Linked DNA regions of Schizosaccharomyces pombe. The gene in region 2 interacts genetically with the main gene of each other region. Each region holds a gene or a part of one and is shown on either strand. Other genes may lie near its edges.

Region 1 (4,167 bases), 1.6 Mb from region 2:
GCAGTGATGTCCTACTTGACGGTAGCGAGAAACCAGCGCAAGCTGAATTAACTATAAATTCAGAAAACTTTCCAGTTGACTGTAGCCTTCCTGTTCAAACGGGTGCTGACGTCGTTGTCCCTGATACAACTGATGAAGAAGTCATAACCTCAGAACCCGTGAAGTTAGAACAACCGATCAATGAAAACAGCAATGTAGAAGAAGCTGAAAAGGATTATCAGCCGTCTGAGAAAGATGACAAATCTCTTATTGGCGGCATCCTCAGTACAGTTGAAATGACCCAGTCTACTGATGTGAATGACGAGATTGAAAATACTTTAACCATACCTGTTGAGGTAGAGCATTCTGATAATATTGACAAAGGCAGTGAAGAAAATGATCTTGGAAAAGAAGCCGTTGATGAAGCAAACAACAACCAGAATGATGTTCTAGAATCTGTCGTGGTGGAACAATCTACTACAACTGATGACTGTGAAAACAAAGTATATGAAGGACAAATGAACGACAAAAATTCCTCCCTTGATATGGTCAATGCATGCGAAGGTATTAATCAGACTGCAATTGGGTTCGTTGAGAAGCCTGACAAGGTTACTGAGCTAATCGATGAAGCTGAAGAAAACATCGATATATCTCAGGACATCTCTATGACCGAGACGAACGCTGTAGATGATGAAGTGCAAGCAGAAAACTCCATCTTACAAGATGAAGTTGAAGAAACTCGTCAAGATGATATCGAGAAGGATGAGCTGGAAGACATCAAGGAAGTAAAAGAGGATGAAAATTTAACTACTTTAGAGGAAACAATTGAGATTCCGGCCAACGATATTGAAGTCCAGGACCCTGAACAATGTTCATGTATGAACAGTACTGAAAATGATAATATCACTACTGAGAATTCAAGCGAAATCGTACAAGTTATTCATACAGAAGACGATTCCTTGCATTTTGATGACAATGTTTCAACCGATTCAGTAAGTCTGGGGAATAAGTCTAGGATAAGCATGGATTCAATGAGAAACGACTGTGAAGCGTTTTTGCCGAAAAAGGAAAAATTCGGCTCTTTAAGGACTTTACACAGTTTTGAAAGTAGTATGAGGAGAGTATCTACTTCTGCAGCATAACCAAATACGATCTTCTAAATTTGCAGCTGTATAAGGAAGATGTTCCGATTATAAACTTTTTTCCTTCTTGGACCTTTTTGCAGGTGCTTTCAAGTTTTTTTTTGAATTTTGGCTAAGAAGCAAACGAAAGATTTTGAAGACTATGCTTTCGCAACTTTATGAACGCAGTAAATTCTGCTTATGAATGGTGCATACAACGGTTTATGGACTTGCATATTTATTTTATTCTGGCATTAATTGCATTTTGCTTTACCAGTTGGAGATTGAATCGAAGTTTTATATAAGATACCAACTAATAATGCGTGTACAAAAAGAGACAACAGACGCATTTACATTACAATTAGCATCTAAAGAAGTGATAACATCAAGCATATATAATACATTTAATAATACTAATGAGCATATGTATCTTCAACCCATATGTAACCGAATCTTCCTTATGACAAGCATTATTGATATTGCAAGTTTTAAGGCACAAGTATTGTTTCTAAATATCTTTATGATCAAATAATAATTAGCTTATTTGTAATAGCTTGTCTTCGATCATTTTTTGTAACTATTGCTACAAATATTATTCATCGAAACAAACTAATTTACCAATTTACCACCTAGCAAATTACCCAAATCTTTAAATCGTAAAAATTTTAAGGAAAATTAAATCGCCATCAAAATATTAACAATATGGTATAAAGACTTTTTTAAACATGAACTATCAGAAAAATGCAAAAGTCCTTTGATGTAGCGGCCAAAGCTTTTTAGTTTAAATGCATGATAGTACAATCATCAGTACATCTTTAACTCAGAATTCAGGAGAAACAAATATTGTACCTCATATACTAACAAAATGATAGTATGATACTTTTATTATAATCGGATTAAACGAAATTAGCACTCAGCAACTTCATTTGATTTACGTGGAGAACTTTTGGCCTGTTGCATAGCCAAGGCAAAAATACGACTGGAATTTGCATTTTCATTTAATAATCTTTGATTCCAATGTGAGCCTGACTGCTGTATTAGTGGTATATCTTCGTTGCGAATTACAGAGCCGATGGACATGAAAAAGCCAAAAGTGGCCGCAGATGTTAACATGTATTGACCTAAGGTCCTTAAGAATCCACGTGGACCAGGCCCATAGCGCAAAACTGCTACTCCTCCAAATAAAAACCCGATGCCAAGTCCAGCAGCTGAACCCATAATGGCGCCCATTTTTACTGTTCAGTGTTAATGACTGAATTCATACAATATAGAACTTACGCTTATCCACAGTTGAAGGTTGCATAGATTGCATTTTGAGTAGTTAAAGGTCTTACTTTTATTTAGAAATAGAGAGCACTAGTTTCAAGGGGGATTTTGTTGGTAGGAAAAGTAAGGTAGTATACAGTTATTATATTGGATACCTAGGTATAACAATAGATGTAACAATTTCTTTTGTTAAATCAATAGTTTAGTTTAGGAAATGTTAATTTAAAGAAAACCTATATATATATTTTTTATAAGCCCAGTTTTTTTAAGTAAATGTAACAATGTATTACATCCAGGCATGCGTTAAGTGAGAGCATAGGCTTAACGTTATAATGACTTCTGAATTAAAATAAAACATTGCATTGGCATGTATTGCAATTGCTAAAGTCTGCTATGTATATCTGACATATATAATAAATTAATTCCCCTCGGCTTCGGATTGAATTTCCTACCTTTTGTTATTAAGAAGCCTATCGCTAATTAATTACTAACATGTCCTTAGCGAAATTTAATTGAGTTGCATTCTTAGTTACATCTACAAATGGCAAAGTTCTAATGAGGGAGTGTTGTCATTCCTGCAGCAATTATTTTATTATTTAATAGACAAGTAGAACATAAAAGAACAAAAATGGATATATGTATATATATATATATATATATATGTCAAAAAACATTATTTTAAAGATAGCCTTCGTCAGACAATTGTGAAAGGACAGCAAAAGTAACCTCAGAAACAGAGTCTTTGGGCTTGATGTTTACGGTAGTCCACTCAGCAGGTACTTTAACAGATGCATCAGCATCAGCCAGAGAAACAACAACGGCAGCACCAGCACGTTGCAATTCTTGGGCGTAAAACACTGAAATAGCATCTAAGCGAGGTAAAAGAGTGACATGGCGGCGACCATCCTCGTTCAAGGCTGAAACTAGAGCGCTGGGGAGAAGTTTATCGGAGGTGGCAGGAACAGCCAAAACAAATCCTTGAGAGTATTTGGGAGGATAGGATTGACGTAAAATAGCGACAACCTCTGGATAAGAGAACCACTCAGGGATGTTGGCACCGACGCGAAGACGGCGACGAAGTTCAGTACCACTGATGTTCAAAGTACGGGTACCGGGTTCGACTTTGTCAACTGGCTTGTAGATGTCCTCATCAGGAAGGTAAGTCATCATTTGGAAAGGAACAATGGTGATACCGATTTCCTGAGCGTATTGTTCAACAAGGTACTGAGCATCGTAAGGACCATAAAAATCCTCGCCTTGACTGTTCTTACCAGGACCAGCATGATCACGACCAATGATGAAATGAGAAGCACCGTAGTTCTTACGAATGATGGCGTGCCATAAAGCTTCACGAGGACCAGCCATACGCATGGCTAAGGGAAGAAGAGAGAGCTTGGCGGAACCCTTAGGATAGCGTTGGAGAATAGCCTCGTAAACACGCACACGGGTGAAGTGATCGATATCACCAGGCTTGGTCATACCGACGACAGGGTGAATGAGCACACGGGCACCGTGTTGCTTAGCAGCACGGACGGTAAGCTCACGATGGGCGCGATGCATGGGATTACGGGTTTGGAAAGCAACGACGCGATTCCAGTTGTTACGCTGGAAGTCAGAGCGAAGTTGAGCAGGTGAGTAGCGGTACTCTACGAAATCGAAATGGCGAATAGGAGTAACGGCTTGAAGTTTACCACCAACATACACATTTCCAGCACGACCAAACAAGTAGTCGACGGCAGGGTGGGCGCGATCATTAGCACCAAATACCTTTTCAGCTTCGTTCGCCTTATCTGGGGTATAC
Region 2 (6,260 bases):
ACAGCTAAAAGTTCCTCTGGCAATCAGGATATTTCCGGAGATGGAAAACTTCATAGTTTACGTATGAAAGAGCCTGAGGTTGTTCAAACCATCCGTCCAGGCCAAGAGGTTAGTGTACTTATATTTGCTGATACTTCCGCTACTTACTCACTCTCGTTAATTACTTTACAAAGTCCTCTATCCAGTTAATCTTCAATAACTGGTGATCTTCGCTAATGTGTATGCCTCACGATTTATTTTTAATGTATGATTAATTGCATATGTCTAACGTTATATACTTCTACCACTTATTTCTTTTTACCTAAACGTTTTGGATTTATTTTAGAGGATTCGAATAATCGCATGGGTTTGTTTGTTTTTTGGTGGACTTAAATGTTTTTAAGGATTTTTATCAAAATATTTTAATGCTTATTTACGGTTCATGTCTTACGATTGTATTTCTTATTGGCTTTTTTTATTCATTTTTCTCATTTTTTTTTTTTTATTTCTTTATTATTTTTTTTTACTAGTAATACTTTTGCATCGTTTAAAGGGAAAAGTTATGCCCTTATGTTTTTTTCAATAAAATGGATTATCAAATCATTGCTATCAAAATATATAAATAATTAAAAGTAAATTAGTTATTTATTCACGTCACTATGGTTGATACCTACCCGCTTAAAGTTCATTACTAAAATCTTTATTGTATTTCTCTTATTTTCTTCTGAACAGTGCAGCTTACCTCATATTTCAACAGTCAACGGCATCTGCAGTATTATCCTAGTATATTACAAATAACTAATTAAACATGTAATTTTCCATGAATATACTTCGATCAGTAGTTTCGAGGGGTCGAAAAGGCCTCAAACAAGAAAAAGTGAATCGTAGCTTTGCTTACTTAGATATGGTTTATATTACTTCCAAGGTAATTGCTATGTCTACACCGGCTGCTGGAATACATAAGTTATATCGAAACGACGAATTGGATGTATTTAAATATCTTACAACGCAATTGAAAGACAACTGGATATTGTTGAATTTATGTGCCGAAGAAACAGTTTACCATTTGGAATTATTTAAACCAAATGTCATAAATTATGGATTTCAAGATCATAATCCACCTCCGCTTCTCTTTTTATGGGCTATTGTTATGAATATGGATGCACTCTTTCAAACGCAACCTTTGTTGACATTGGTAGTTCATTGTAAGGCCGGAAAAGGACGTACAGGAACTGTAATATGTAGCTACTTGGTAGCTTTCGGAGGCTTGACAGCCAAGCAAAGTCTTGAACTATATACTGAAAAAAGAATGGTTCGAGGGCACGGTCTTACCATTTCATCGCAAATACGTTACGTCTATTATATCGAAATTTTAAAACAGTTCCCGAATTATTTGAAAGCTGTGGAATTTAATACTGGTACCACTTTTTTTAAAAGTTTTAAATGTTTGAATATTAAAAAAAATTCATCTTTGATTCTATCATTGCATGCCTTCTCTAAGGGACGAAACATAAATCCAGTTGCTCTGTGGAAGAGTTCAGATATATCATCCCATAATGTAAGCATAAAAGAAGGAAAACGTATATGGGGGATACAATGCAACCTAGAAACATCGGAGAAAGACCTTTTGCTCAGAGTCGAACGCAAGGGCCAGTTTTACTTTCCTTCGAGTGTGCAATGTTGGTTTCATACTCACTTTCAACCTATGCTTGTGGAATACACAAACGGGATAAATTTTCAACAAGGTATAAATTCCTTTCTGCAAGGACAACAGTCAATTTCGTTCTCCTGGTCTGAAATGGATAATAGCCGACGAAGTGACCCCTTTTTCGAACAACTGACAATTGTATATGAAAATGTTTTTTGATATTTTGTAAATATTATATTAGTGTAAAATAAAATGATTATTTGTGCAATTAGATCCTCCTTTCGATCATCGAAATAAACTCACATGTTGAAGTGTTTCTACTTCAGTAAATTACAGAGGCGCTTCAAGTTTTTTTTTTAAATTTTAAAAAAAACATAGGAGTTTGAGTTTAAGGCTTATACTCTAAGATTCGAGTTTGCAGTTACGATTTATGGTATTAACTCATCGTGGCTACATTACCGACATCCACTTGAATTGAGCTTGTCTTCCACCAACGCTTGTTAATCGCTGAATTGACTCTCATGTCTGGGATATCACTATCCTTGCGTCAATTGGATTATAGAGATTGGTTTCAGCGAAAAAGTATGCTCTTGTTTTGTTTTTGAATGATGCTAACTAGTTTATTAGTCAGTCGAGATATCTACGGCAATTCGACTTGGTTGACCGGTATAGATTTGCAGAAAGAATTAACTGGTCATACGGGATGTGTTAATACACTAGAGTAAGTGTTTTATAACAATTTGTTCTACAATGCTTACAATTTTCAGCTGGTCCGCGGACGGTGAATTCTTGTTATCAGGAAGTGATGATACAAGACTAATTGTCTGGGATGTTTTCAATGAATACAAGCCACGGCATTTAATATCTACTGGCCATGTTCAAAATATCTTCAGTGCGAAATTTGTCCCATATTCTAATAACCGGCAAATATTGTCTGCTAGTGGTGATAAGCTTATTAAGTTGTTTGATTTAGATTCAAGTAAAGAAGGAGGAATGGATCACGGCATGGAGACTCAAACTAGATGTTGGAGTTGTGCTCTTGATTCTGTTAAAAACATCGTCCCTTGTGACAATGGTCATACTTTTCTAGTTTGCAGTGAAGATGGGACGGCTCGTCAATACGATATTCGTGAGCCACATGTCTGCAATCAAGATTTGGATTGTCCTTCTATACTGGTAAATTATAACCCATATCGCATCAATTTATACACTATAACCATGTCCCCTTCAAACCCTTATTATTTTGCAATTGGTGGTACTCATCCGTACGCGTTTCTATATGATCGCCGGATGGTTAAAAAATCTTTCCGGGATGATTGGACTATGAACACTTCTCCCGAAAAAGACTGCCGTTGTGTTCGTAAATTTAGTCCAGATGGCTCATGTAATTCCCAAGGTATCTTGGATCGTTATATCACTTGTTGTCAGTTTAGTGCTGCTAATCCTAATGAGGTAAGTCTTATTGCATGGGTGATCTCTAATGTTTGTTATAGTTGCTTGTCAGTTGGAACTCTGATTATGTATATTTATTCCATGTTCATGAAGATAAATCTTATACACCAACTTTTAATAAAATAGAGGATTCAAATAAAAAGCCGTCTAAGCCTTCGTTACTTCAAACACAGCCGCTGAAAAGGAAAAATTACTCGCCATGGTATAAGAATAACTTTGGTGCTTCTACTCCAGCTAGTAGAGTGTCAAGAAATCCGTATACAGCAGCCCAACCTCGAAAGCATACATTTTATCAGATGTATGAGAATATCGAAAAGTTTTTTACTACCGAAAATGGAGGACTGTATGAGAGCATTGTTAGCGGTCGTTTATCTCATTTTTCTCGCTCTATTCAGTACGTTAAAGACGCTATTTATTTCTTGGAAAATTATAATTATATTCCCGATTCAAACGGTTTGAATCATAGTATCCGCGTTAGTGCTTTACGTTATTGGAGAGCGTGTGTTTCTATTTTAGCGCTTATGGATGATACTGTGAGTTTGGAACCGAACACCATTATACAAGCTGGCTGGGGATGGTTGTATGATTTTATGAATTGGGTTACACGATATTTGTTAGGAATATCGGACCATTGGGCACTACAAATGTCTCCGCCTACGAACGTTGCTCGCCAAAACTTTGTTTTGTGTGATCCTGATGAACCATCTCGGGTTTTATTCTCAAATCCCTCTGAAATGATTAGGGCATTTGCTAGGATAGATACTAATGATTTATCTTCTGTAAGGCGGTTTTTTTGGATACATAAAGTTTTACGCGGTTGTCTTCTTCTTATATCCTCCGATATCTACTGGGAGCAATTTCAGCCTTGGGACAGCAGTACTTCTGACGTTACTTCCAGCCAAAGACTTGATGATGAAAACGGGTTCTTGACATTGTTGGAACCGCCAGTGAACTATGAAAATGAAGTTGAAAGTAGTTCGGGAGAAAATATTGTCAGTATGTATACTGGGCATTCTGATCTCAATGATGACGATGATGATTACCAGGATGAGGAAAGTTACTCCTATGCTAGTGATGATGATGATGAAAGTGATGAGGATTCGGATGAAGGTCCGACTTTGTTGTCTTTAAGAATGAAGAAGCGGAAAGCAGTGGAACCAAATGTGCCGGTGAACACACATGTTAAAAGTTATTATGGTCACTGCAACGTAGAGTCTATTAAAAATGTTAATTTCTATGGTCAAAATGATGAATATGTCATGAGTGGTTCTGACGATGGCAGGTTTTTTATTTGGGATAAGTTAAATGCTTCCATTCTTGCAATTATCCATGGCGATAGTGAAGCTGTTAACGTTATAGAAGGGCATCCCCGTTGTCCCACGCTTGCTGTGTCCGGTATTGATTCCACCGTGAAGATATTCAATACTGAGAACACTCCACCATCAGGTTGTTCAAGGAACCATACTTCCAATAGTTACAAAATAATTGCTACCAATGAAATGAATAGGCAGCAGGGGTCGCGAGATTCCTACATAACGAGGTTTGTTGAATACTTCTAATTTGCTCATGTAAATACTAACCGTTCTTCTAGTCGTATGTTGTCACATCTTGCATATCGTGCACATTTGGATGATGGGTTTGGACACGAAGTGCTCGATACCGATGCTTGTAGTATTATGTAACTGAGGAAGTTTTTTTTGAAGCTCACATTTTCTCTATTAAAACTATTTATGATTAATGATTAGACATTTTCAAGTAAACTTAATGTTGTGAAATAACTATATGATTTTACTTTTTGGGATAAAGTTGGGAATTTAAGCGAAGTAGTTAAAAGCAAGACAATTTCGGCATATTCATTTGGACAAATATTAAGTGCGTATGACTGCAGATGTTTAATAGTCATTTTTTATATAAGCTTTTCTTTAAAAGTAAAATATTAAATTTTAATTTTCTTGAAACATCGTCTTCAAAGGAAAACGGCAAGCATAGCAATCCCTCTTATTTTCTGTCTTCCGTCGATCGTCTACCTACTTAATCATAGTTTGAAGTTAAAATTGTTTTTAACGACATCATTTTTTTAAGTAACTGTTGTATTCGCATTACTCTGAAAAGAATTAATTCATACTTAGTTTTGATTAGTCATATAGTTCTGTTTTTACTTTTTAATTTCGCTTTCTTTTGCTGACAAAAATTAAGGCAGAATTTTTTACGCGAGATGACGATCGACTGATGTACGTTAGAAATGTTTGTTGTAACTTCCAATCTTAATTTTTTTTTTGTTTACATAAGCAACAAGATGATTTTGCACTTTTAATACTGCTTACTGAAACGACTTAGAATACGATGGATAATTGAAAGAAGGAATCTCACATAATTGACTAATCAATCAATATATGCTTACTTTACACTTAGTAAACATTCACGTTGATTAGGTAAGGCACGAAGGGTATATTAGGAGAAGAATGTAGCCAGACAATTGTACCAGCAAGTGTGGGCAAATAATCTGTCAAGTTTTTAATAAAGTTAACCGAGACCAAAAAATAGAACTAACTTTGGTTTTTACATACGGTCATTTAAATGGGATTTTTAAGGGAAACCGTTTTCGGCGAATTGGTCGAATACGTTTCTCACAACTCCAATGACAACGACTTAGAGAAACTGAGAGTATGGAAAGACATTAGCAAAGTAGATTCCAATGACTCATGCAGCTCGGAATCCGGCGATCTGAAGATTCATGAAGTTAATTCAGAGGGACACATTATTGTGCGATGGGATGATGCCAACGATCCCGAAAATCCCCTAAATTGGCCTTTGTGGGCAAAGCTTGTGGTGACTTTTGATATTTGCTTCTTAACGTTTGCGGTTTATGTGGGATCAGCAATTTTTACTCCAGGTATATCAGAAATGCAAGAAACGATGCACGTAGGAACTGTTCCCGTAGTTTTGGGATTGACTCTTTTTGTACTTGGCTATGCCATCGGTCCCCTAATTTTGTCTCCACTCTCGGAGATTCCACAAGTTGGTCGCCAAAAGATTTATGTTCTTTCTCTCCTTGTATTTGTGTGTTTACAGATTCCCACCGCACTGGGATCTAGCTTGGGCGTCTTATTACCAATGAGGTTTTTGGCCGGTTTCTTCGGCTCGCCAGCTCTAGCGACTGGAGGTGCTACTTTGGCAGATA
Region 3 (7,035 bases), 530 kb from region 2:
ACGATTCAAAATAGAAGAATATTCGGCAGGATGTCCAGGGCCCGGTCCTACGACAATGGCATCAAATTGAAGTATGTCTTCCCATAAATCAGGACTCATTTTATCCCAATGAACAACAATAACACAGGCATTTTCACTTGCTTTGTAAAGTAAGTCATAAAGGTTAAAAGTGTATGAGTCATAGCAATCAATTAATAAAATTTGTAAACGGTTTGAAATTTCACTCATGATAGATACTAATCAGCTAAAACGACCTTAGATTTACTCAAGAAACATTAATTTTTTAACGATATGATTGAAAAGAGAACTCTGGTATTAAGAGGTTTTAACTTTTACAAAGTAGCAGGAGTAGGAAGTGCGCAAATTAAATTCCAGTTTCCAATTTGTTTAGAAGCTTCTGACATTCTTCGGGATTTTACAAATCATACAATTCCATTTAAGGTAGGAAAAGTGTAGGCTATCTAAAGTTTTATTATTCCGTTTATTTTCAAAGAATAATTCGCAATCAAAAACTTGAAGGCGAGAATAATAGAATGGGAAGCAGTATTTATTTTGAAAACAACCCTTTGAATATGTGCAATTTTCATTGTCAATAGAACATGAAGCAATCAACAAATATATGTATTCTTTTTTGCTTTAATATCATTGATTCACCTATTAATCGAACCGAACGGTAGTAAATTTTATATTAATGCATTTACAGCCTGATCAGCGTAAAGATCTCAATGACAATTGATAGGACGGCTTGTATTACTGTTTTTTTTTTCTAAATCCTGATTAAGCCTGTATGTTTCTTCTATTTGGTTGTCAAGGCTATCACATTTTGTTCATTAAAGGTATTGTCTACTTAATGCTTCTAACGTCAGCAGCTAATTAAAATTATTTCAGTACATATATTCATTTATAAGAGTATTGTTACCATATTAATAATAATAAAAAAATATGGATTTTAAGAGTCGAAAATATAAAATTAAAAAGCATCCGAAGGATTGCAAACTACATGCTAAAAAATACCGGGGTACATTGAATTCAAAAGGGAAAAATGATAATGATTGTTTAATTATGTGTATGAGATGCAGAAAGGTTAAAGGGATAGACTCTTACAGCAAAACTCAATGGAGCAAAACGTTTACATTTGTTCGTGGGAGAACGGTTAGCGTTTCAGACCCAAAAGTGATATGTCGTACCTGCCAGCCCAAACAGCATGATTCAATTTGGTGTACCGCTTGTCAACAAACTAAGGGCATTAATGAATTCTCTAAGGCACAAAGACATGTCCTGGATCCACGATGTCAGATATGTGTACATTCACAAAGGAACGACGGTGATGATAATTTGGAATCTGATAAGTTCGTTGATCCTTTCATAGGTGATGATTCTGACTTAGACGATGATATCTACATTCATGATAAACAAACCATAAACTCAGAATACGCTGACGATGTTTCTGATAATACTGACGAAGAGCGAACTGAAAGCAAGGGGCAACAGGAAAGCAATTCAGCTGAAGAATATGATGATGATGACTCTGATGAAGACAGGATGGAAGAGATATTTCAGCAATTCAAAAAAGAAAAACAAATTGTATAGAGACACGTTTTATATTCATCCTTATTTGAATTATGTAAAGATTTGCTTACGATCCCATTTTATATGATAAATTATAAAGGTCCATTAGTGCTAATGTAGACCTTAAAATATGTTGAATTTAATTTAGATCTTAAATAAATAGATATATGTATATAGTAGTAAAAGGTAAGGAATTGCGAACCCTGATGTAAACACTAGCGTATATTGAACCCATTAGTTTCAAGCAACGCCGTGTCTAATTTTTTTTTTAACTTTTCCCTACTGGAGTATTCCCAAATACATAAGTGATTGAAGCAAGTATGAGAGATAGGAAGTTGATCACTGTCAGGTCCGAGAACTGAGATTCTTAATTGAAAATTATGTGCCCCAGTAGCGGGAATGCGATCGCTTCCTGTGACGAAAATGAGAAAAAGTTTTTGCATTTTTAGCGAATAGTGTGATATCAAATCCCAAAACCAAAGTATTATTTTTCTTTTTGATACGAAAGAGTGGCAGAGATATTTAGATGCAGTCATACTTGGTTCACTTTCAGATATAGAATTTGAAATCGCATTTTGGTCATAAAAATCATAAACGCAGACATTTTTGAGTAGCTCCCAGTCAATAACTTCTTCACTTCCTCTGATCAACTTGCTGATTTCATTGTCTTGAAACAACGATATGGCGTTACCTCCACATACTTTCATAAAGCCATCGAAAAAAGCAGAAAATTGTTTTTTTACAGTAGTATTTAAGAGATAATCTACATACCTCAAAACATATTCTTTTCTGTTCTCATTATCAACACTCAATTCAGAGCCTCCTTCTTTCAACTCAACAGTGCGAAAGCCCTCGACAGCTTTGAGATTAATTGTAAAATTAAGACCGTAAGTATTTTTTACATCTCCTTCAAATAGTAAAAGCTCTTTTAATCCTCGATATAGACTAGGCTGAAAATCATCCAAGTCATTGAAACTTAGAGGTAACTGTAAAAGTTTTTTATAGAAAGCTCTGGGCATCTGTACATCCAAATTTATTGAATTGTGGATTGCAATTCCCATCAATATACCTGACATATGATAGTAATCAATTTCTTTCGACCTGTGTGAATAATTAAACCATAGATAATTTGAAGACTCTTCACAGTTCACAAATAATCCAAACTCAGGGCTAAAAACTTTCCTCGTTAAAAGCAGCAACCATTCTCTCTTTAATCCTCCTGCATCGATTCCTTCTTCACCTAAAAACTCAACTTTTAATGCCTTTCTAAAATCTTTATTTCTGTCATTAATTTGCCTTAGGCTGTCTTCTAACAGTCGATCTCGCCGAACACGAATCATCAAATAAGGTTCAACGTTCATTTTGGAAAGAATTGAAGAGAAAAATGCTTCTCTTGCTTTAATCTCCATTTTTCTCCGAGCATCAAGCTGAAGAATACTAATTTTAGCACCCATTGAAAGAAGAAAAGGATACTGGCAAAAACAAAAGCAATTGATTTTTTGCTCCCATAACTCAAAGTCGTGATAAAGATTTATGAAATCAGCCATTATGCAGTAAAATGAAGATCTGTCTATCAGTCTCATTTGCGAATTAGCAGAGTATAATAAGGCCATAGTAATAGCTGCTGACTTAATTTGCCAGTCATTATTATAGTAGTGCTTCCTTTTGTTTCTACTGTAAGTTTCCATTAATCGTTGACCAATAAACTTGTTTATGAGATCGACTTTTCTTCGAAAAAACTTAGGATTGTTGTAAGGTTGTTTTTTAAAACAAGAAATAAAAAAATGATGTGTCTTCTCGTTCAAGTTAGATAAAACTCCCAAAATCCTCTTCAAAATGCTGCTACTCTTGTTCACTATATTCTTTGATTTTGAGTTCAACAAAGGATTTTCCAAAAGAATGAGAAGATATTGATAATCCGCTGGATCATGACAATATAGCATGGGTCTCCGAAGTAAACTCTCGATAGCTCTTAACAACTCATTTGTTATTAAAATGTCTAAATTTGTAATATCATGGTACAATTGGTAAATGAGCTTATAATTTAGTCCGGAAGATTGGATTGAACAACCATTTTTAACCGAGAACAGTTTATTCAATATCGGTGGACTTCCAAATACTAAGGATATAAGTTCTCGTAATGGTAAGCCTGCAGCCACAATAGCTTGAACGTTGCCAGTTCGCTGCTTAGCAAGTTGCAAGGCACTTCGTGTTTGATGAATTGTTTCAACAAAATGTTCAACTGAGATAAATTGTGATCCATCGGTTGAAGCTTTTGTCTTTATTTGGGAGCCACTTAAACAAAAATAAACATCGTTCACAGTCATACATAATGAACAACGAAAGCACATAGCTTGTGCAGGGTAGCGCAGGACGCTATTACAACAAATGCAGGGCCTGATCACCTATAATTTTGTTAATAAATTAGCCAAACAATTAGCCTAAATACCAATTTCTCTGAATTCCCGTAACTATCATTAGAAATTGTCTCATGAAACGACTGTCGAAGTCGAAGTGGATTTTCACCCATACGTTGACAAACTAACTCTCTTAAGCGACGTGATATTTTTGAATTTGTATTATTGTCAAGTTCTGAGCGGCTAGAAAAACTAGAGCCATGAAGTGCTGGGAGCGTTCTACGGTTTCCAGAAGACACATTGGCTATTTCAATAGGGCGACTCATATAAGCAATTCACCTTCTAAGAAAGATCTATATTTCGCTCTACAGATAAACAATTGGGACTAACCCAAAACAAAAAGACAAATCTGTAAAAGTATGGTACATATCTAGGCCATACTACACTATACATATATTGGTATAGTTATTTCTTAAATATTACGATATTCAACAGGTTCTCATGGCGTAGTCATTCTAACATTCTTTCGTCAAAAGATCATCACAGTTGAACCAATTTTCTAAGATCTTTGAAGGTGAATACTGTTAAAACAGATAAGTTCTTTACTCTTCTTGTATAATATGTATGTCATTAAATGCAGAAGTAAATATTATGACATTTACAAAGAAAATTACCATGTCGACTTCGCAGTACCTTATTTAAGATTTTTGAACGTTCCTACATTGATGATACCTTTCATTTTAAATTGTCAAATTACCTAGTATGTACGACTATTCGTAGGAAAGTTGATTTAAGAAGATTATGATTTAAACATTGAATAACATCTAGTATGCTAAATAGGCCATCCTAGGTAATAATGGTGTAGTAAGAGAAAGAAAATAGAAAGCAAAAATTTGGTTTATAGGTTGGGTCGAGTATTCCTTTGAACCGGAGGTGGAACAGAAGTTGGCGAGCTTACACCGGACGAATTACTAGAAGTTCGGGCAGCAAGTCTTCTTGGCTTTGGAGGTGCAGGTGGAGGTGGTTTCTTAACAGGCGACGCTGTAGAAGCAGCAGTCGCCGCGGGAACAGATCCAGATGCATATGAACTGTTTTGAGAAACCCTTCGGGGAGGAGGAACCGGCAAGGGTGCATTTGCAGAAGCTGTAGGGAGAGGAGAAGAGGCAGTATAATTAGCGTTTGACTGATAAGTTTGGGAATAAGAACCAGAAGAGCTGTAGGAGGGAGGTGGGGGCATCTGAGACATTACATTAGGACGAACAGGAGGTGGTGGGACTTGTTCTTGATTTAAGACGGACGGACGACTCCCTGGTCGACTAGGAAGTGAAGGAGTCCCTCTTGAAGGAAGAGCGGGTTCCTTGGGGGGCTGTGAAGGTTGGGAATAAGAAGGCTGCGAATAAGAGGGTTTCGAATAATCTTGATTTCCTACAGCCGGGCTAGCCGTTCTAGGTGTACTTCCAGTACTACTACCACCGGCACGCAACTGTGAAGCATGTTTTGGAGGAGGAGGCAATTTTGTAACATCGACATATTTTATTGATAAACGAGGCCCGGTTCCATGAACGGATCTAATATCATACATAGCATCTTCGCCATGTTCACCTATAAATCCCATTTTGTTAGTAATGTCTCAAAAAGCAAAGGAAATATGCTTACCTGGTAATTTCGATGTAATCTTATTCTGGAAGCGGTTCGCAGAATCCGACATCGAATGCAGTGATTTTTTTGTTGAGTCAAACATTACGATTAGTTTGAAATTGATTTCTCACAATTGACGCAAAAACCGATTTTACCCAAATGTTTGCGGTGGACAGCTTCCGACTCTCGAAATTCCTTAAGTCCGCTTTTCTAAGAGCCCATAGGGTAAACAACTACACAACGTGCTAGTAATATCAGCCAGCTGATAGGAAAAAATAATGTCTTTGAGTTCTTTTTGATAAAACATAACAAAATAGTAAGCAGCTAATAAGCTTCGCGTTTGTTGTCAATACTTACTATCAGAATTGCAGCATTGCTATTACGCTTGCTAAATTGGATAATATACGTAGAGTTCTATATTCATTCAATTGAAAACTTGTTAAAATCGCATTCTTTATGCGTATATTAGTTATACAACTATGGCTGTCAGAAAATGCAAACAAACTACCACAAGAAGTGATCCTTCCAATGATAAACGTTTATGTTAACAGAATGTAAAATCATTGCTTTTCAAGTAAATCTTATAAACACTAGATGTTGATGACTTTCATAAATAGAAAGTAGGGATTACAATTCATCTGTTCCGTCATCTTCAACATTTTCTTGAGACAACTGCCCAGATTTGATAATTTTTACATCTTCAAGAGGCTTATCACGGTTGTCAGTCTCAGCTTTGGAAATTTTCTTGACAATATCGTAACCAGAAAGGACTGATAAAATTAGTATTAGCAAACAAAAAAAAGGAAAAAGAAAACAAATAGTCACTTTTATAAAACATATACAACTACAATATGAATTCTTACCTTCACCAAAAACAACATGGTGTCCATCTAACCAAGGTGTTTTAACTGTAGTAATGAAAAACTGAGATCCATTGGAATCGGGTCCAGCGTTAGCCATGCTAAGCAAACCGGGACGTTGGTGAGAAAGCTTAAAGTTTTCATCAGGAAAACGGCTGCCATAAATTGATTTTCCACCAGTACCATCACCCTTCGTAATATCACCACCTTGAATCATGAAATTGGGAATAACGCGATGGAAAATAGATCCTTCATATCCAAATCCCTTTTCTCCGGTGGCTAATGCGCGGAAATTTTCGGCTGTTTTGGGAACAGTTTTACCAAACAATCCAATGGTAACTCTTCCAAGGAACTCATCACCTTGTTGCAAGTCGAAATACACTGTGTCTGTAACTTTGGGGCCACGGTTGGCAGAGATAAGCCCAAAGAAAAGAGTAAAAAGTAAAGAGAAATAGAACAACTTCATTTTTGTTTTCACAAACTAAAAGCTTCGTTGTGTGGTAAAGGATAAATAAATAGTTATGGTGGGGTTTAATAGCAAGACTCGCTAGATTTTGGTTGCTGTAGCAACTTTTAGCACAATGTTAAGCAAATAATTCAAGAAGCGCTTA
Region 4 (5,927 bases), 3.1 Mb from region 2:
TTTAATGGCACTTCGTTTTTTTCTGGGTCTTGTAGAATCCTCGTTGCTACCTACCATGGAAGCAACCATTGGCATGTTTTTCCCTCATTCTGAGCAAGCTCTTCTTCAGCCCTTTTTCTATATTTCATGCTATGGCTGTAATATTCCTGCAGGGTTTATAGCCTATGGAGTCCAATATGCAAAAAACACCATATCTCCTTGGAAGCTCTTTATGATAATCGTCGGAGGAATCACATTTTTTTTAACTATTGGACTCTTTTTTTATTACCCAGATAATACTTCTACTGCTAGATTCTTGACCAAGAAAGAGAGATTATACACAGTTGACCGTGTACGTAGAAGTAATCATAGCGGTATTGAGTCGAAGACTTTCAAGAAGTATCAAGTAATCGAGGCGTTAAAGGATCCAGTGACATGGTTATTTACTTTTCATGTTTTTTGCAATCAACTTTCCAACAATTTAGCTTACCAACAAAATTTACTTTTTACAAGCTTGAATGTTTCTGATTTGAATTCTACCTTGGTGGGCGTCGCTAGTGCCGGATATAATTGCGTTAGCGCAATTATAGCAACTTATATGATGAGTGTGATAAAAAACCAAAGTGCCTTTCACGGAGCTATATGGTATATCCCAAGTATTGCCGGAGGAATTGCGTGCGTAGCCATGTCATGGGATCATAAAATTGGGGAGTTAGCAGCTATTATTATAGCAAGCAATTTTGGTATCCCTTTTATTATTTCTCTTGGATGGACAACAGCCTCTTGTGCTGGATACACAAAGAAGCTTACTCGTGGTGTTATGTTTATGATTGGATATGCCATTGCCAACATCATTGGCCCACAAATGTGGCAGAGTCGTGATGCCCCGAGATATTATCCTGCTTGGATTGTTCAAATAGTAATTGCTTGGTCTGTTTCTCCCTTTGTATTGCTGATCATTCGCTGGATTCTTGTTCGAAGGAACAAAAAGCGCCTTGCTCTTCTTGAGCAGAATAAAGAACAGTATGAAAAGACTTGGATTGAGACGATTGATTCTTCTGGAAATCACGTTTCCGGTTTTTACGAAAATTCTATGCTTGATTTGACAGACCAGGAGAACCTATCGTTTATTTATCCCTTATAATTATCCATTTAAACGAAGGAATAAATCTTAAAAAATAACTTTTTGAAGTATTCATGAGAAATGTTTACAAAATAATTTCAAATTCCCAACAGTCATGAAAAATCCTTCTACTATTTGCTTTTTTTTTTGCAAAATTTTGTATTTTTAAACTACTTGCCCGTAAACTCTTAACTTATTTTAGACTACTACAAGACAGTTGCTTTATTTACTTGTTTTTTTGTTTCCTTTAGGATTCCTAACCTTTAATAGTAATCTTCGTCTTTAGCGAAGAATAGTTTGAAATTTTGTTTGTATATATTGCTGAAAGCTTTATTCAGTTACTATTTACATAGATTGAAAAGAAGAACTAGCATTCATTGCTAAATAAAATGGAGGTCGATTTTTATCCCCAATGGTTTCTCATAGTTTACTTTGCTGCAAAGTTGCGATTGAAAAAGAGATGTTCTAAAAAAGTATTTTTATATCAATTATAAAGCCTAATACGTAGGGGAAATCCAAACCAGTTAAATTTTTCAGCTCGGCTTTGCATTCCATCTGATAATTTTCGCTGTAGATTATCATATTTAAAAAACATTGAATCAATTGGTAACTTAGCATATATACGTTGATAGATGAAATCAGCTATTATTAGATTTTATAATCTTTAAACTGTGGTGTTTAATAAGTAAAAGACTGGAAATAGCCCATTAAATTAAACAATTAGCTGAACCCGAGTTCCATATTTGCAATAAGTTTTTTACCATTAATAAACTGCTATGTGGTGTTTCATTAACAGTAAAAAATTATTGTAAAATTCAATATCATGAATAATCATTAAAGATTGTGCTTAGCTGGTTTGAACAAACCGACGTTTTCGGCAACAAAATCGTCTGGGGCTGTTACTACTCCAGTTTCAGCTTCGTAGACCAACCAATACTCGATGAGTTCGTTTAGAATATCTGGATGGACTTTCGCTAGATTTTCAAGCTCACCTTTGTCCTGGGAAAGATCATACAGCTCCCATTCTGTTTTTATTCCTTCTTTAGGTACATATATTGCCTTATAATTTCCTTTTCTGATAGCTCTTTGCCCGAAAAGTTCCCAGCCGCTAAAGTCAGTATCTTTGTGTACGGGTTTTCCATGCACAAAATGGTCAATCCAAGGTTTCCCACGGGGGATTACAACATCTCGTCCTTGAAATTTGTGCCCTGGGTGAGGGACTTCTGCTAACTCAAGGATGGTTGGCAGGATATCCATAACCGTAACAAACTCATCGGAGATGATGTCTGGCTTGATCAATGGAGGATAGCGAATTATAGCAGGACATCGAATACCACCTTCTGTAATAAAACCCTTGCTAAGTCGAGAAGGAGCGGTCGCAGCCTGTGCCCATCTTGGTCCGTACCAAATAAATGAATTATAATTACCCAAGTTTTCCAGTGAATTGTCAAAATACTTAACCGGTGGTTTTGTGCTTAATACCGGGATTGCTTCCAAAACTGACCCTTCTGCACCGTTGTCTGACATAAATATAACAAATGTGTTGTCAAGTTCTCCAATAGTTTTCAAGTAGTCAATAACACGACCAATATTCAAATCTAATAATTCGACCATTGCAGCATAAACTTCCATCGTTCGCGCAGAAAATTCTTTCTCTTCTGTTGTTAGTTCGTCCCATGACTTGGTTCCCATTCCATCTACAGGTGCTGGAATTACATTTTCTGGTATAAGTCCCAAATCCTTTTGGGCTTGCAAGCGATTTTTTCGTAACACATCGGGGCCTTCACTATATCGTCCACGATATTTATTAATATATTCTTTTGGTGATTGCAACGGCCAATGAGGTGCTGTAAATGGGAGGTAAGCAAAAAATGACTGGGATTTTTCACGATTTTTTAACTGATCAATTAATTTTTCTGCAAAGTAATTGGACGAATAAAAATTTTTTAAGCTTTTGTGATCAACAGGATCATGATTGTGGGTATACAATGGTGGTAAAAAAGGTACAGCAGGGTTTTCTCTAGTACCAGGTTCATATGCAAAATGATTACCACCTCCAGGTAAAAGTGCAAAAGATTCTTTAAATCCTCGCTTTGAAGGGTAACGATCTGGGGTTAGTCCAAGGTGCCACTTTCCAGACATTGTGGTATAGTAACCCGCTTCCTGTAGAATCTCTGGTAATGCAGCAACTCTATCATTTAGGTAGCCTTCGTACCCAGGCTTTCCACCCCATACTTTCGAAAACCTGCGTACTGTCTCTGCCATTTGCCCTAAACCTGCTATGTGATTGTCTGTACCGCTTAATAACATAGATCGAGTAGGCGAGCAAGCAGAGGCTGTATGAAAGTTTGTCAACCGTACACCTTCCTTTGCAAGCCTCTCAATATTTGGAGTGTGTATTTCACTTCCAAACGGAGAAACATCTGACCATCCAAGATCGTCAGCTACGATGACCAAAAAGTTTGGTTTTTTAGATTCAGCTTGTTTATTAAAAGCCATAGTTACTATTCAAATTTTTTTTGATTGCGAATAAATTTTTATGCAGCTCAAACTGTAATTTTTATTTTATGTTCATAAAGGGCATGTGAGACAAGAGACAGCCCACAAGTTGATTAAAATATGAAAAAATATATTTGCAACAATTGTCTTCCGTAATAGATTGCAAAATTACAAATACCTAATGAAGAAGTATGGCGTGCTATCACGTAAGCTTTGAGTAACATCATCCATATTAAAAAAGATACTCATACATTCCAATTTACTGGATCAAACTGTAATTTACTTATCTGAATATTTTAGAGATAAGATTCAGTAAATCAAGTTTAAAACTAATTACTGTCACTCACTCAATATGTGCAAAACTGAGTTTACTGACCAGGAATTGACTTTTTTTTTTTATTTATCAAGGAAATATTAATTGAGTTATCAATCCCAAAGGAAAATATGTGAAAATATTTAAACACTCGCCAAATTATATTAATTGATCTTTATATCAATAAATGCTTTACTCTAGAAAAAATCGGTTTCGGTAATATACTACAAAGGAACCTAAATAGATTTTGAAGCTTTATACATATAAGAAAACATTAATTTTCTAAAAGATACCAAATGATAATTAACAAGGACGTCGATTTTCGTTATTTTGAACTTTCAACGAGAAATGTCAGTGGAAGATTCAACATATTTTCTATGAGATAAATTAGATATAATAACATTTTGCTTTTGACAATAACTGAGAAAAATCATATTTATACCTAGATTTGTTGAGTGATACGAATTTCATACAATTTAATGGGGGTAAACTGCGATTAAAATTACGTTTTGGTCCTTTGTATTGTCTTATTGATATGAAATATCAGACACGAATATTTTCATACTAAGTGGTAATAATTAATTTACAACTGACCTCGGATTCTCTTTTCGTTTGAAATTAAAATAATACTTAATTATTACAATTGGAATTTAATAATCTCGATTAGTGGACGTAATATATATGAAGATATGAAGAGTATAAAAGTATCGAGATGTATCATAATAAAGCTTAATGCTATATATCTGAAGATTTTTTTCTTGGTAAATTGTTTCCGTAACTAAGGGCCGTCCAATAATTAGACTTCCTAAGTTCAAAAATAGTGGACCAATTGTTAAAAAATACAGATAAAGAACATCTTAAGACATTCACAATATACAAAAACAACTTGTTTCAATTGTAGGAACTTGTAAAGTTAAAGGATTAAGTTGTTGTACAGAAAGGATCTTTGCGTAATGTTGGATCCGAGAAAAGATGTAACATTCTCAAACAATCCATACATCATTTCCCTTCAACGCACTTTTGGTACTATCAATTGCAATTATAAGTGAATTCAAATTATATCAAAAGAGTTACGTAAATTCATATTTATCAGATTTGGTCTGATATTATGTTAAAGTGTAAACTTATTGAGCAGCACCCACTATTTTCTTTTTACTCATTATTATATCGGATGTATTCAAACTTGGTTTACATTTAAATAGTAATAGCAAATCGTTTTAATTACAAATTAGAATTTACACGTGTTAAGTTGTCATTGTTACTCGGTAAATGCATCCTAGATTATGACTATAATAATTTTGTTTAAACATTCCTTTTCTTAGCATGTTTTCATTTGTGTTCGATGGGTAAAAAGCTAATAATATTATTATAAAATAAGCTGTATTATAATAATAGGTTGTCTGAGCCGAAGCAAGTAATTGTGCTAACTACATTCCCATATACGCTTATTATTGCAAGGAATTTTAAATGACTTGGAAATGATTAAAAAGCAAAATTAATTGGCTGTTCACTTTTATATATAATGTAGCGGCATGTAAAGTGCTACTAGTATAGGCATATAAATATTTATTTGAGCGGACATCTTTTTTTAACTATAGTACTTGGAAAAATCGTATACGGTGGATCATTAGCTGATTAAACCAGAAATATTACAACTTAGTTCAACAACGCATTATTGAAAGTGAAAGCGAGTCCTCAGATGAGCAACATGAAGTATATCAAAATGGTATTATCTACGATACTGATTAAAAGGATGAAGCATCTATATTTGAGAAATTAGGTGATGATGAATCTGCTCATGAGGACAATATGCTTGAACTTGGAGAGCCCTAGGAATTTTCGAAATTTTTTTGGAAACGGAGAAAGCTAGATCCAAACTCCATTACAACAAAAAAATCCATTTTTGATGATCCTAATACGTTAGCTGCTTTCAAACCTAGTCCTTACTATGAAAGTAGACACCGCATCGATCCTTTTTTTAGATGGATATGGGTCAGGAACAAAAAGTTGTTC

Evidence for each region.
Region 1: mutations in iqw1 (region 2) and mgr2 together harm fitness less than expected from each alone (positive genetic interaction), as found in Schizosaccharomyces pombe (one large-scale study listed by BioGRID).
Region 3: mutations in iqw1 (region 2) and mug30 together harm fitness more than expected from each alone (negative genetic interaction), as found in Schizosaccharomyces pombe (one large-scale study listed by BioGRID).
Region 4: mutations in iqw1 (region 2) and SPOM_SPBPB10D8.02C together harm fitness less than expected from each alone (positive genetic interaction), as found in Schizosaccharomyces pombe (one large-scale study listed by BioGRID).

Annotation. Positions count from the first base shown.
Region 1 is NC_003423.3:1,568,441-1,572,607, forward strand, and holds mgr2 (protein Mgr2), read right to left. Parts: upstream 2,480-4,167; 5' UTR 2,413-2,479; coding exon 2,379-2,412; exon of another isoform or gene 2,336-2,378; coding exon 2,007-2,335; 3' UTR 1,764-2,006; downstream 1-1,763. Other genes in the region: septation protein Uds1, read left to right, coding at 1-1,121; SPOM_SPBC27.05 (uncharacterized protein), read left to right, coding at 1,306-1,632; sua1 (sulfate adenylyltransferase), read right to left, coding at 3,045-4,167. UniProt on the Schizosaccharomyces pombe protein: Required for cell viability in cells lacking mitochondrial DNA.
Region 2 is NC_003423.3:3,161,024-3,167,283, forward strand, and holds iqw1 (WD repeat-containing protein), read left to right. Parts: upstream 1-2,116; 5' UTR 2,117-2,148; coding exon 2,149-2,209; intron 2,210-2,254; coding exon 2,255-2,348; intron 2,349-2,394; coding exon 2,395-3,079; intron 3,080-3,120; coding exon 3,121-4,619; intron 4,620-4,670; coding exon 4,671-4,761; 3' UTR 4,762-4,879; downstream 4,880-6,260. Other genes in the region: SPOM_SPBC609.01 (Dis3-like exonuclease family protein), read left to right, coding at 1-189; phosphatidylinositol-3,4,5-trisphosphate3-phosphatase Ptn1, read left to right, coding at 800-1,846; plasma membrane spermine family transmembrane transporter Caf5, read left to right, coding at 5,657-6,260. UniProt on the Schizosaccharomyces pombe protein: Ligand-dependent coactivator of nuclear receptors that may function as a substrate receptor for CUL4-DDB1 E3 ubiquitin-protein ligase complex.
Region 3 is NC_003423.3:3,685,756-3,692,790, reverse strand, and holds mug30 (ubiquitin-protein ligase E3), read right to left. Parts: upstream 4,253-7,035; coding exon 4,019-4,252; exon of another isoform or gene 3,975-4,018; coding exon 1,785-3,974; 3' UTR 1,591-1,784; coding exon of another isoform or gene 943-1,590; 3' UTR 942-942; downstream 1-941. Other genes in the region: abz1 (para-aminobenzoate synthase), read right to left, coding at 1-228; CLRC complex-Argonaute linker protein Stc1, read left to right, coding at 943-1,590; SPOM_SPBP8B7.26 (uncharacterized protein), read right to left, coding at 4,825-5,528, 5,583-5,667; cyclophilin family peptidyl-prolyl cis-trans isomerase Cyp4, read right to left, coding at 6,192-6,334, 6,428-6,890. UniProt on the Schizosaccharomyces pombe protein: Probable E3 ubiquitin-protein ligase. Has a role in meiosis.
Region 4 is NC_003423.3:81,831-87,757, forward strand, and holds SPOM_SPBPB10D8.02C (arylsulfatase), read right to left. Parts: upstream 3,689-5,927; 5' UTR 3,602-3,688; coding exon 1,937-3,601; 3' UTR 1,399-1,936; downstream 1-1,398. Other genes in the region: SPOM_SPBPB10D8.01 (cysteine transporter), read left to right, coding at 1-1,123.